2 linked regions of the Drosophila melanogaster genome follow. Changing the gene in region 1 together with any one later gene gives a genetic interaction. Each region holds a gene or a part of one and is shown in the gene's direction. Other genes may lie near its edges.

Region 1 (6,899 bases):
ATCACTTTTTTTATTTTGCTACCCTCTTCATGACTGTAATGTTTACTATAATGATTATATATTTTAGAGATTCCGTTGAAATTGTGTATATCAGCTCATTTCATTTAAAAGGAAAGGTGTTACTAATTTGTTGGGGATTTTGATATTTGTCATGACTAATCATTGATTATAAATATTTCTCCTCTGTTTATATTAATAGAAATATCGTTTGAAATAAGAAATAATACTGACTCAAACGTAATTTATGAAAAAAAAGTAGGCTTATTAGCCTGAATATGTCGGTTTCAAAGCTAGCACCAAACGGAAATTGGGATCGAAAGAAATGTGCTCAACATAAATAAGCGCAAGTAGTTTGTCTTTTACAATACGACTCATTCCGTCAAAATGAGGTGGTGGCTAATAAGCGGTGGAATCGGGTGAGAAACCGGGCTAATTTCCTAATACTGCAATGGACGTTTAATGAACTGGCTGGTATCGTAAAACACCTAAATGTGGGCACTTTTTCATTCGAATAATACCCTGGGTAATTGAGCACAAAATCGAACAGATTAGTGGTCAAATGGCAGACAATGGGTGACCGTTTTTGATATGTGTGGAAAAAGAAATATAAACCAGTAACTAAATTAGAAACGTGTCTAGAGCAGAAATCGTGAGGCATACTGTGCTCTGTGCCAGAAAAACAAACGAATCGAATTGGAGCTATTGCAAACAAAGTGCAGTAAATTTATCGCCGTGAGCCATCAGAAGACCGAACAAAATTCCGTTTCTTGGGCTTATGACAATGGCAAATTTCCAGCAGACTTCGGGCCAAAAAGCTGTCCAAATCTTTTGAGATTCCTCAATGCCAGAAACGGACATCGCGAATTTTTGGATTTTGGGGTTGTGCAAAAACCGAAAAGGCAGCAAATAATAGAAATAAAGACGATTGCATCAACTTACGATCGTAGAGTCCGGTGATGTGGTGTCTAGTTTCCTTTTATGCTTTAAATATTGAATTAATTGTTTATTCCTTATAGAAAATGCCTCGGGAAAATTTTTCAATGGCCCGAAGACGACAAAAACGTGTGTGCTATCTGCTGTCAGCAAGTTTTTCTGAGCCGCTTTTTTTTATCACACAAAAACACTGGCAGCGCTGCAAAATCGTTTTTAAGCCCTGACTTCTAGGGTTTTTGTCAGTTACCCGTATTGATCACTGCACTTGGATGGGCTTTCTGTTGGTCTCTTTCTCAACTTGTTCGAACTGCGCGCAGACGCAGACCGTTACCGACTCAGCTTCTGACCAGCAGGCGCCAGTCTTTTTAAACTGACGAAAAGCTCGAACTCAACGAAAGACAGCTTAAAGCTGGCCGCAAAGCTGCGCTCTCTGAAACTTGGTCTGAACCGGGAGCTTTTGAGTGTTTGCAATGAGTAGGTCTAAATTGGTCTAAATTTTACCTTTTTATAACTTTTTATGTATTTTATTACTCAACCCTTTACTCATGAATATGGTCTAGTGTTGTAAAACTTTCTTTAAGCACCCCTGACTTCGGCTAAGACGTCACAGGTTTCTTCAACCACCGCTTTCGGCTAAACAACCCACACAAAAAGCTGCTTGCTCGTGCGCCTGCGCGAGTTTAACGATTTCCCAGCCAAGTTAAGAAGCCACTGGCAAAATAAAGTCGAACGGCTGCAGAACTGCGTTGTTGATTTTTTTTCCACAATTTGTGGATGTGAAAAATATTACAATTTTTGGATATTAATTGTGCAGGACCAGATACAAAAAAGTAAGGCTATAATACATTCAAGCAAGTAAAATGTAGGCGTAAACAGGATTACGAGGAAAACGTAAAAACTATCAAGTGGCTACTATGGCTTTTCCGAGAATCTCTGATGCTGCAATAAACAATAGATACAGATACTGGAAGTGATAGTAAAAGGGAATATTTTCAAAACGTTACGAAGACCTAAATGAAAGAAAGGAACATTTCTAAATGTGGGACTTCCCATTAAAAATGGTTTCCAGAAGTTGAAAAACCTGCAAACTTCGTGTGCGTGTGTGCAAGGGCTGCGATGATTCATGCGACCCTAGAAGAGCACCCAAGTGGCTCATATGTGTGTGTGTGTGTGTGTGTCTCTCCCGCTCTCTTGCCAGAAAGTGTGCCTGAGTGGGTGTCCTCAAGTAATGCAAATAACAACAAAAGCCAAACGTCAGCATAACCTGAGCAGAAAGCAGGCAGCTGCTGCTCACGAAAAAGCCTCTAGCATACATTTGTGCGCAAAATCGAAGCACGCAATTCTTCACGTGCCACCGAAAGTTGCAAACATCCAAAGACAGCCAGCAAAACTTTTCCTCCTCACTTTTAAACCGTGACTAATTGTTATTCCACACAGCCGCCAGGAACATCGAGTGGAAACGTGCTGAGAGCGGCTAAGCCAAATCCATTTAAAATGGCCGAAGAGTATATCCCAGATGCCAGCGTCATGGACACGAGTAAGTACCATACCATATTGCAGCATCCAATGCGACCTTAGTGGTCGATCAGTCCAATTTGCTCATTAGCAACTTGTTCAAAATGTTGCACACAAGTTGTGCCAAACTTTTTCGGTGGCTATGAATAATTAATTCGGGTCTTTGTGCCTGGATTGTCAGGTTTCGAAGGGGATACGTGCACATGTGTTATTTGTTGTGCTCTTTTATTTGGGGTGAAATGTATAAGCTCAAAACGAATTGGCGAAAGTTAATGTTCTAATAACAAAGGAAGTCTACAAACAACTCACAGCTGTGTTAGGGAGAAAAGTTCTTTCTATTTTTTCATTTCGGTGACTAATTACAGAACATATTCAAAAGTGTGATTAAACGTTTTCTTTTGTGTTTTCGGATATTAGTAAAAGATAGAAAATAAAACGCTTTTTGTTATTATTGGATATTTAAATTTAATATTCGGTATTAGATTTATAATGATAAAATGTTCTATATAATTTTCTATTATGTTTTAAATTCTTTTAATTATCCCATTATATAATTTTGAGATTGCATATTGAGCGTCTATATATGTAATCTGGAATGGGGTGCTAGTGCTAGTTAACAGTGGGTTTTTCAAAACTTCCAACACAATACGAGTAAATTTTACTTTTGTTTATGGCTTTAAGGTTACACTAGTGACATTGTCCCATCACCACCTTGCACATATTTCAATCGAAGACAACGTTTTGGGTACAACTAAACTATGCATATGTTGCCTAACATACCTGTTGTCCTTTCAGTTGTCCCCGCCATCCTGGGACTGACTGCGGCTGCTGTCCTCTCGTCAGTGGCCTGCATCTGCGCCCGGCAGATGCGCCTCCGGAACAAGAAACAGAGCCAGCACGACGCCTCGTTCCCCTTCCAGCCGACCCGGCGACCGACCGCCGTTCGATCGCCCAGCGGCCAGCCGCCGCACTACTTGAAGAAGTCGCCCTCGCCGACGGGAGGCAAGCAGATGGGACTGCTGTCGCCGATGCAGGACCAGTCCACCTCCCCGATTGCGCAACCGAATGTCAAGTACAGCGAGGAGGGAGATGGACCCGCCCAGCATGCGGAGCAGCAGAATGGCAATCAACTGACCGTGGTGGATGGTAATGGGTTGAAGCACTCGCTGCACAACAGCCTTCACCACTCGCCGGTAGAGACGATCGCCAACGGAAGTGTGACCATTACCCTGGACGACCATTCGCTGACCAACGGGAAGGAGCTGACCGTGACCGACCAGTACGGCAAGCTGGGTACCATCTATTTTAAGCTGCGCTACTTGGCCGAAAGGAACGCCCTTATGGTGTCCATCATCCGTTGTCGCGGACTCCCCTGCAAGGGAGGATCGAGCGGAACCGGAGATATTCCCACTGGCATGAATGGACGCACTCAGGCGGCAACGGATCCGTATGTCAAGCTGCAGCTGCTGCCGGACAAGCAGCACAAGGTCAAGACCCGGGTGGTGCGAAATACCCGGAACCCGGTTTACGACGAGGACTTCACCTTCTACGGCCTGAACATGAACGACCTGCAGAACATGTCGCTGCACTTTGTCATCCTCAGCTTCGATCGATACTCACGTGACGACGTCATTGGCGAAGTGGTGTGCCCATTGACCTCCATCGAGATCGGGGACATCTCCAAAGAGGCTTTGTCCATCAGCAAAGAGATCCAGCCACGGAGCTTGAAGATTCGAGCCCAGGGTCGCGGGGAGCTGCTCATCTCCCTCTGCTGGCAACCAGCTGCCGGTCGCCTCACCGTCGTCTTGCTGAAGGCCCGAAACTTACCGCGCATGGATGTCACCGGACTGGCCGATCCGTATGTTAAGATATATCTCCTCTACAATGGCCAACGCATCGCCAAGAAGAAGACGCACGTGAAGAAACGAACTCTGAGCCCCGTTTTCAACGAGAGCTTCGCATTCGATATTCCCGCCGCCGAAGTGAGTAATAGTATATTCATTTACTATTTGTTTGTAGTTTAACGAAACACCATATCAATTACCTAGCATAGATTAATTGTTAATTGTTTTCTTGTGTTCGTATAATTATCATAGAACTTAAACATGGACGGACTATTTTTGAAAAGCTTTTATAATAATTTTAAAGAATCATAAGTTAACGTGCATATCTCAATTACAGGGCGCTGGCGCCAGTCTTGAGGGTGTGTCTTTGGAACTGATGCTGCTCGACTGGGATCGCGTGACCAAGAATGAGGTAAGTCGCATGGGATGACCTAATGCCAATAGCTGGATAATTGCACGCTCGATATTTCCACAGGTCATCGGTCGGCTGGAGCTGGGCGGCCCGAACTCGAGCAGCACCGCCTTGAACCACTGGAACGAGGTTTGCAACTCGCCGCGCCGCCAGATCGCCGAGTGGCACAAGCTGAACGAGTAGGGGAGGGGCAGGAACCTCCTGGGCGCAGGCGCCCCTTAATGAGGGGGAAGGGAGCAGGAGCAGGCAACCGAAATGGGAGTCATGTGACCTCGTTGCCACCATGAATTTCTCTTTGGTTTTTGGCATATGATTGCATATTGATTGAGTTTATTTTCTACTTTCTACTTTATATTTCACTTGATTTCTGGGAGATCACTTGCTTTGAGTTTGAAGCAAGATTAATGCGAGATAATTGGCCGTTAACGCCACAAGCAGAAAAGAAATATTTACCAAGCAACCACTAACTAAATTAAATGTATTAGAAAATGTTTAGGACCCTAAAAGTGCATGTAAGTGTAAGATAATTCAGAAACATCTCAATATAGACATGTTTAAATATGAGAATAAGCAAGGCAGGGGAATTCTCAATATATTTTAAACTGACACCGACTTTGTTGCTATATATTCATGTATGATTTTCATATCAAATAGTTGAAGTTATATTTAATGTGCCCACCACTGAAGTTGATTTCCTCAAAAGATATATTATTAACCATACATCTGTATAAAATATTTATGATATCTAACGTTTAAGCATACATATGTCTGTACAATTTAATTTTAATTATTTGAATATTTTAGTTTGATTGTAAAGACCTAAAGTATACCATCGCTTTAATGGATACAAGACATCAAATTTGCACACCCCGGAAGCTCTTAAAGTTTTGTCCAGAACGAAGCAAAGATAGATGCTTACTGCTTAACACTTTATACGTACTCTTAAAAATAAAAACAAATAACTAAAACTAATGAAACAAATAAAACTAAACCAAATTGAATCTAGAGAGAACACGCAGCAGAATGCTTAGCACCAAGAAGCTACAAAACCACACACAAATCGATCGAAAAAGTCAGAAAACATTGATTCGGAGAGGAAACCAACACAATACAATAATGTAAGCAGCATAGTACATGTAGGAATCAATTACCAATAACATACTCTAGAGTATAACCACTCACGAATAGCTCAAACCGAACGCAATAAGCACTACAGGTGTATCTAGCGGCACTACCTTTAAAGGCAACGGATGGAGGAGACCCCGATGAAAGCATAGCTTAACGAAGACACCGAATCATTATCCACTACTGATATTAAGTGTACTGAATACAATTATAAACTATACCAGATCTATATAGACATCAGCCCGCTTCTACGTATATTTTGTAAACTGAGTGTTAGAGCATTAAACTTCATTGAATAACTACGTGCATACAACCATAAGGATATATACAAGCATACATAGCGATTCGCGAGAATCGCAGATACAACTTCAATTCGTGTCCAATCAAAACTTCAATTCGTCTAATGGAAAAACAATAATTACCAATACATATGCAAAGAGTTTGTGCAGAGGAACCCAAATTATATGAGATGTGTATAATTCTACATTATATGTAATTGTAATTGTAAGCTACATCAAATGGTTAATTTCAGTAATAAAAGGTATTATATAAAACAATGTGCACTGCGAATTATTTGCATTAATACGTGTCTTATCAGCTCTCTTAATTCTGTGAGTATACTATAGTTAACAGAGTTTAAAGCACTGATAAGAGGAGATTCTTGCTTATACAAAAGAGTACAGACTAACAGATACCTATTATATCATTGGATTGCACATTTCTGCTTTCCTTACTATTAGATGGGTCGCTTGCCTTGAAGTCTAATACTAAAAACAATAATTGGCAATTGTTTGCCAGATGAAAGTTCCGATCGGCCAGATCAAAGGTTCGAATTATGCTATAGCAAGGTCTGCGATGAGGAGGGTTTTTATGGTGGGTGTTTAAATGGAACTCTAAATTGCGATAGAAAGATCGACTGTTGGGATGGAAGCGATGAAAATAAGTTCGAGTGCTTGCATGATGCAAATCTAAAGAATGAGTACGAAGACCTCAAAGGGAACTGTATGTAAGTTGTATTTGCTATGAAACTCAATTGGTTGAGTTTGAGTATGTTCACGTTAGATGCTGTC
Region 2 (7,486 bases), on another chromosome or scaffold:
TAAATTGTAAACAAAGGAAAGCGCGAAAGCCGAGAAAACTAACAAAAAACGGGCACAATAAACTTGACTGCCTATAACAATATCTCCGCTTTTCCGACCCCTTTGTTTATGGAAAAGCAATGGAAAAAGGTGAAAAGCGGGTGTTAAACGCAGGGAATATGAATATGTTGCTGTTTTGCCAACAATTTGCACTAAAAAAATAAGTGAATAGATAATAATAACCTGGAATACATTTTAGACTTACAGTCCGCAATGCAAATAAAGGCGGGAAAAACAAGAATTTCATCTTTTTGTATTCTCATTACCTAAACTCAATGAATCCCATGGATTGATAAAAATAAACTGCTTTGTATAGCCACTCCACCTAAATTGAGTTTTGCTTTGTTATGCAGTTTTTTTTTTTAACTTTACAGCACAAAAGTGACAATATCTTCATTGAGTCAGAGTTCTATACGATCGTTTGTAAATAAAAGCGGATTCACGACTTTCGAGCAATTGAATGCCTCTTAATAACGAGTTGGCAAGAAATCGTCGACTAATAAAATGATATTGGAACTCACAAAACCTTCCGAATGTATCTGATAAGCGATTGGCGGTTCGAATTCCACGACGGGGTCACAAAAAAAACATGACTTATATGACTCATTTTAAAAGCCAAACAAAAAAAAAATAAAGCAAAAATAAAGTAACAAGTTCAAGCTCAGAAACATCAGTTTATCTCAATCTCAATTAATTGGTATTTTGCAATAAAAAGTAAATGTTCATGTTTAAAGGGTGTATTAAAGGGTATTCGCGAATTCACATATTCCACATTGAATTTCCAAATCGATTTAAATGTTTTAACCTTATGGCGCTACATGCAGTTCAATTCAAAGTATCAGTATATCACGTATACGTATGCTTTTTATACAATCATTAGAGAGGGAAGAATTCGCGACACGATTCTTTTCTGCCGTCTTTTTAAATGGCATGGCAACTTGAGAAGAATTGCGAACCAAATGAGAAATGGAAATTCGCAACTGTCTGGTGTTGATGGTTTTATTTTTCTTGTTATTGTTGTTGACGTAGTTGAGGGCAGTTCATAAGCTTCGTTTTGCAACCGCAAGAATTGCTAATATAAAGCGGGTAGACCATCTAGCTACCCAGTAAGCAAAATAGCAATAAATTTATTATGGGAAACTTTCGAAGAAACAAGCAACTGAACTGTGCTTAAGAAGTATAATTTACACAAGCGTTTTGAAGGGATCAAGTTGTAAAAAGTGGTGAGTACAACGCTTGACAATGAATTTACACCCTTGACCTACATAGATGCGACCCGCTGATACCCTGTAAATGCATATGGTGGCACAGTACAAAGCCAGCAATAGAAAAAAGTTCAACTAATTAGCGCAAGTGACTTTTGAACGTTCTCGTCGCAGGTTTATTTCTCTTACTCGGTCTTTTATTTCAATTGAACGGCAACATGGAGCGTGAAAAGTGCGACAACAACAGCAAAAGGCGGCAGAGCAATGTAGAAATGTTTACCATACAACAGAGTAGAAATAATAATAAAAACAATTAACACATTTTTCTCCGCCGCCTAACCAGTTTTCATTTCGGTGGCAAAGACGATTTATTCATTTTATTCGGAGACAACAAAAAATGTAGATCGCCACTAACTACACATAATGTAGTACGAGTCTCTATCTTTATCTCTCTCCAGCTAAAGCACATGAACGTACATATCAAATACACCGAAGTTCATGAAATCGAATACCTTCGTATATTCAAATCACAATTCTATTGCTGCATTTAATGTACATTTTTGAATTTTTCATAACTAATTTGAATTTGGATTAGGCCCAATGAATTTATACCATAAAATGCCTATTATTTTGGCCCAGGCTGTAGCCAGAGTGTTTGCTGTCTTTAATCTTTTTGAATTGAAAGAAATCTCGACGCGACTGGGAGGCTCTGCGTTTTTGTGCCGGCGTCGATTTTTTAGTTCGAAAACGTATGCGGCGCGGTGAAGACAAAGGAATTGATTTTCAATAAATCGAATAAAATGTAGCCGAATGTATTTACATGTTAAATTTTAAAAATACATAAAGCTAGTTTTTCCCATAATCCAATTTTTTTCTTTTTTGTGTTTGTGTGTGTGTGCAACAAAAGAGCGAGTAAGAGAGCAAAGAGCCGCCAATAAATGGCAAATATGTGATAGGTGATAATCTGTGTTTAGGCCTTTCTGACTGTCCCTCTCTCTCTCTCTCTCTCTCTCCATGACTTTCCACCCCGCCCTGTCGCTTTCCGAAGGGCAGACGGTAAATATTAGGCGGCTCTTATCAGAAACTTGTGCGCTGATAAGCTTTGATAGCAGGTTTCGCTCTCTCCTGCGCTCTCAATCAAATTTTCCCATTCGCGAACAGCTGTTGGAGGCAACGGCAACAACAAACCAGGAACAAAGCTCAGAAGCTGCTGTAAAGGATATAAAGTGGACATTTTGGAGTACTGGAAAGGAATTCAAGGAATTGGCATAAATTTGGCATATAATTGGCATAATTCAAACCAAAGGCAGTCCAAGTTGCAGAAATGGGTAAAGATCGACTGCCCGAGCTTTTGCAGGTAAGAAAATATTAGAAACGTGGGTGGTTGGTTGGGAGGTTGGGATGAGGTAACTGCTAATTAGTTTGAAGCACAGTGGTTTGGCATCACTCAAACCGCAATACGAATAAAATCTACTTAACACGATGAAATACATTTGGTGGTATTTGCCAGGAAAAGGATTCCACTTTTCTCGGTAAAAAGTAATCCTAATCAAAGTTTTTTTTTTTTTTGCGGCACGTTGAAACACATTCTGACCAAGGTGCTGCCACCTTCTTTACAATTGGCCCAATCTCTCACATTTCTGTTGGCGCTTTTGGCACTATTTCGACTTGTGAGCCAAGGGGGTTTGGTGGGTGTTCGCTATGGCATTTATCAGATCGGCCAGAGATAACGACGATAATGTGGCCACACATCACACTTACGGGGCAACCCCGCGTTTCCGCCGACAAACTTTTAGCACCAAGTGAATTTCAGTACCGAAGTCATTTTTATAGTTCATTTACACCGCGCCAGATTGTGAACACACAAACGTAAATAAACTCAACCAAAGTTGTTAGTTTCAATTTAGTTTTTTCTCAGTTTTTCCCTGCAGTTCGTTAGGATCGCATGGACCTATTTTATTTTTATTTATTTATTTTTTTTTCTTCTCATTTTTGCTGTACTAATTCCAGCGCTCATTGAGCACGAACTCGTCGAACTCGTCGTCGAACGGTTCACTGCTTTTGAACGTGTACAGTGGAACCACGGAGTTCATCATTGGCAACACCGGCGGTAACAATAATAGCTACAGTGTCGTTAGCCAAAACTCTCACAGCTGCAGCAACAATAACAGCAGCACCGAACCCAAGGATCGGTCCAGTTCAAAGATGACGCAGTATGGCTCGAATGTGGATGACATACTCAATCCGGTGAGTTTAAGGATCGAAGTGTATACAAAACACAACTTCAGAATTCATACAAGTTTTTACTATTATTGAGTATTGAAATAGTTAATAGAAGAAACTTTAACTCCTAAGATAGCTATCTTGAAAGTTATAAATACTTAGCGAAGCAAGAACATACAACAGAAAGCAGCTAATATCTAGCATAGTTAAACGTTTCCCCTCAATGGAAATAAAAGATCAGAGAGCCGGAGAGAGGGAAACCCTTTTTTTCTTTTTTATGGCTTACCCACACATGTGTGCACTTATGAATCAGCTGTATTACTCAATCGCTGCCGGCGTAGCGCGAAAACTCGTGATAAGTCCAGAAAAAAAAAAAAACATTTTCTCATTAAATACGTTTTTTATTGTGGTTAAGAGAGCGGACGAAGAGAAGGCAAGTAGTCGCCATGTAAACGTAAACAACGGTAGACAACTCTTGCAAAGCAAAAAAGCAATACAAGCACTGCTTCCTCCTGAGCAAGGAAATGTACTGGAAATGCAATGGAAGTGAATATACGATTTTAATAGATTTTTACGGTATCCTTCCTTTTCAGTACACGGAGATTCGCCAACAACTCGCACAGATAGCCGCCAACTTGGAGACGATGAACCGCATGGCCCAAACTGTCAATCTGCGAACTTTCAACGGTAAGAATTTGAATCTAAAGTTGTGAATACTTCCACTGCATCACGGTCTAAATCCAATTCGCACAGAGAACGAGATGGATGAGCTTCACAACAAAAACCTGAGGCTGGGCAATCAGCTAATGACGCGATTCAACGACTTCAAGGCGAATCTGCCGGCGGAAAACGATTACAGCTTGGAGGCAAGGATGAAAAGAACCCTTTTCTATGGACTCCACCAGACTTTCATCAATCTGTGGCACAAAAACGAACTATTCCTGCAGAACTACGAGACCAAGGTCAAAAAGAATCTGAGACTGCATACAAAAATCAGTAAGTGTGATACAAAATGGACGAGTCTGATTAAATGCTTTGCAACTATTACATTATTTTGTTTAAGAACTTCGTTACAATCTACTTTTTAGTTAATTCTGAAGCCAGCGAACAAGAAATCGAGTTACTCATCGAGAACAAGACAACCAAACTCTTTGTGGATAATGTGAGTAAAGAAAGAATTATACAAACAACTAAGTCTTCTGTCTGATATGATTCCTTATCAAAGGTTTCATAAACATATATATTTTAATATGTTCGGCATTTAGTATGTAGTTTAAATGACATTTTATACAATCTAGGACTATTAGCTACTAAATATTACTCAGTAGAGCGCAACTCACCTCGATGTTGTATTCATTTTTCATTTCATTTGACTTTATCGCATCTATAATTTGCGAGACGATCATTTTCATATCACTTTAAGTAAAGCTTTACACAGAAAAAAAAAAAATTTGGGATTTTAATAGCTAATAGGATATAATCACTTTCGCAACTTTTTCAACACTGGAACACCATAAAAAAAATGAAAAAAAAAACACTGAAGCTCATTTGGTGTAACACCCACACACCTTCATACATACATACATATGTATGAAATTATTTTGCTCAAACGCAAAATTACCGCGAATTTAGGAAAAAAAATGCTTCGTATCACAATGCCTATACTCGCATTTACTCGAGTAACAGCACTAAACAACGGTAAATTCAATAAACTTAATTTCGCGGTGCGCAGTTAAAAAACACGTGCGTATGTCGATGCTCACGAAGAAGAAGGAAAGAGGAAGTTTAAACAGGGAATGATCAAGGGCCAACGGTAAATCAAACTCATACATACTCTCTCTGTTTCCCGCTGTTGTATTAACATCATCTATTAGTTAATGAGGCTGTTAAATAAGGCATTATGTTCTGCAATACAGATTATCACATACGTTGATTAATTATATTGGTTGAGTGGTTAGGCTATACATTTTTATATTGAATAGAATATATTTTCAAACTCAGTGGTTCACCATCAAAAAATATAAAAAAAGAAGTGGAAGCTAATTTACCGCAACACACACATTACATTACATACATGTGTAAATAGATGTTAGCACACACATTCTATACATACAAACATATTTCGCGCGCCATTGAAAACGCAAAATTACAGCGAATTTAGGAAGAAAAACGCGCAAATGCTTCGCATCACAATGCGCATACTCGCATTTACTCAAGTAACACTTTTCACCATCTAAAGATCGTTGAATTCAATAAACTTTATTTCGCGGCGCGCAGTTAAAAAACACGTGCGTATGTCGATGCTCGGGAAGAAGAAGGAATGAGGAAGATTTAAACAGGGAATGATCAAGGGCCAACGGTAAATCAAACTCATATGCACTCTCTCTGTTTGCCGCTGTTGTTTTAACATCATCTATTAGTTAATGAGGATGTTAAATAAAGCATTATGTTCTGCAATACAGATTATCACGTACATAGATTAATTACATTAGCCGTATAGCTAAGCTATACATATTTATATATATAATAGAAACTCAGTGGTTCACCATAAAAAAAAAGTGGAAGCTTATTTAGCGCAACACACACATTGTGTATGTTCATACATACATATGTAAATGCGGATTTTAGCGCGCACATTCTATACACACAAACATATTTCGCGCGCCATTGAAAACGCCAAATTACCGCGAACTTAGAAAGAAAAAGCGCGCAAATGCTTCGTATCACAATGCCGATACTTACATTTACATCTAAACCATGTTAAATACAACAAACCTCATTTCGCGACGCACAATTAAAAATCACGTGCGTATTTGGATGTGGCTGAGAAAAAGGGAAGAGGAAGACTTGAAGAGAAAACGATCAAGGACCAACGGTAAATCAATAAAATAAGATCTTCACCCGCCCTTTCTAACATTCTCTGTTAATTAACCTTCAATTTAACACAAAATGTAAAGATCAAAAGGTATTTGTATTGCAAATAGTAAATAAATGTAGACATTTGCTTAATCTTTATAATAACAATTTTTGTATTTTTAGTTTCTGCAGGAAACGGAAAAGGAGCGGCAGACACTGCGCGAAATGATGGATCGATTCAACGAGCTGCGCCGCCTGGAGAAGTCCATCGAGGAGGTGCACGCCCTGTTCATGCGCATCCAGACCCTGGTAATGGAGCAGAGCGAGGTGATCCAGCGGGTGGAGTTTCACGCCCAGCAGGCCACGCTCCACGTGGACAAGGGCGCCGACGAGCTGGACCAGGCGGAGCAGCACCAGAAGAAGGCGCGCAAGGTGGGCACACTGCGAATCCCCGAGAGCGTTGGGTTCTAAAAGGCATTTTCCCTTGTATTTGCAGAAAAAGATAATGCTCATCGTGATACTCGCAGCCGTGTTGCTAGTATTACTCCTTGTTGGTATTTATTTGTGATGCACGCGAGAAACTTTATTTTTTTGGCCTATTTTTAAAATTTATACGTAAGAAAATAAACTTTAAAACCTCAAGAAGAATTTTTGCAATTAATCAACAGGTAAAGGAAATCAATAAAAGCTTATGCTATTGAGAGCGTGCTCTATTCTGAGTCCCTTTAAATCATTAGTTTGTTTGTTTCGTGTGGATTTTGTATATTTTTATTAAATTTAATATGTAAATAAGATAACGGTTAGTTCAAAGGGTACGCATTTAGCTGGAAAGCAGCCAGGAAACGAAAGCTGCGGCTAGAACTAGCCATTGGCGGCTGTAAAACAACCGAGCGGGCATCGCTGCGGGTAAACAAAACAACTTAACAGCAACCACTTCGCGCCTAACAGCACACACTGCACTGTTGATACCACACTGTTGGCCAACATCAACATCCCTGGCGTCTCGTTAATAAGTTTTTTATATAGTCGTTTGGCACCGATTTTCCATGTCTGATTTGTAGGTGAGTGCACGTCGGAGCTTGGGAAAGCCTTCGAGATCATTTCTGGTCGGTAGTGGATTAGCCCGGGCGCGCGGTTCAGCGACAATACCAAGCAATCGGACG

What was found. A genetic interaction does not mean that the proteins touch.
Region 2: of Syt4 (region 1) and Syx4, changing one enhances a phenotype caused by changing the other (phenotypic enhancement), as found in Drosophila melanogaster (one study listed by BioGRID).

The regions. Positions count from the first base shown.
Region 1 is NT_033777.3:7,264,426-7,271,324, forward strand, and holds Syt4 (synaptotagmin 4), read left to right. Parts: upstream 1-1,639; 5' UTR 1,640-1,763; intron 1,764-2,370; 5' UTR 2,371-2,427; coding exon 2,428-2,470; intron 2,471-3,243; coding exon 3,244-4,430; intron 4,431-4,629; coding exon 4,630-4,704; intron 4,705-4,767; coding exon 4,768-4,887; 3' UTR 4,888-6,384; downstream 6,385-6,899.
Region 2 is NC_004354.4:2,738,566-2,746,051, reverse strand, and holds Syx4 (syntaxin 4), read left to right. Parts: upstream 1-1,975; 5' UTR 1,976-2,568; coding exon 2,569-2,601; intron 2,602-3,093; exon of another isoform or gene 3,094-3,135; intron 3,136-3,254; coding exon 3,255-3,491; intron 3,492-4,060; coding exon 4,061-4,154; intron 4,155-4,220; coding exon 4,221-4,463; intron 4,464-4,555; coding exon 4,556-4,629; intron 4,630-4,807; exon of another isoform or gene 4,808-4,895; intron 4,896-5,047; exon of another isoform or gene 5,048-5,247; intron 5,248-5,580; exon of another isoform or gene 5,581-5,668; intron 5,669-6,506; coding exon 6,507-6,755; intron 6,756-6,819; coding exon 6,820-6,891; 3' UTR 6,892-6,963; downstream 6,964-7,486. UniProt on the Drosophila melanogaster protein: Potentially involved in docking of synaptic vesicles at presynaptic active zones.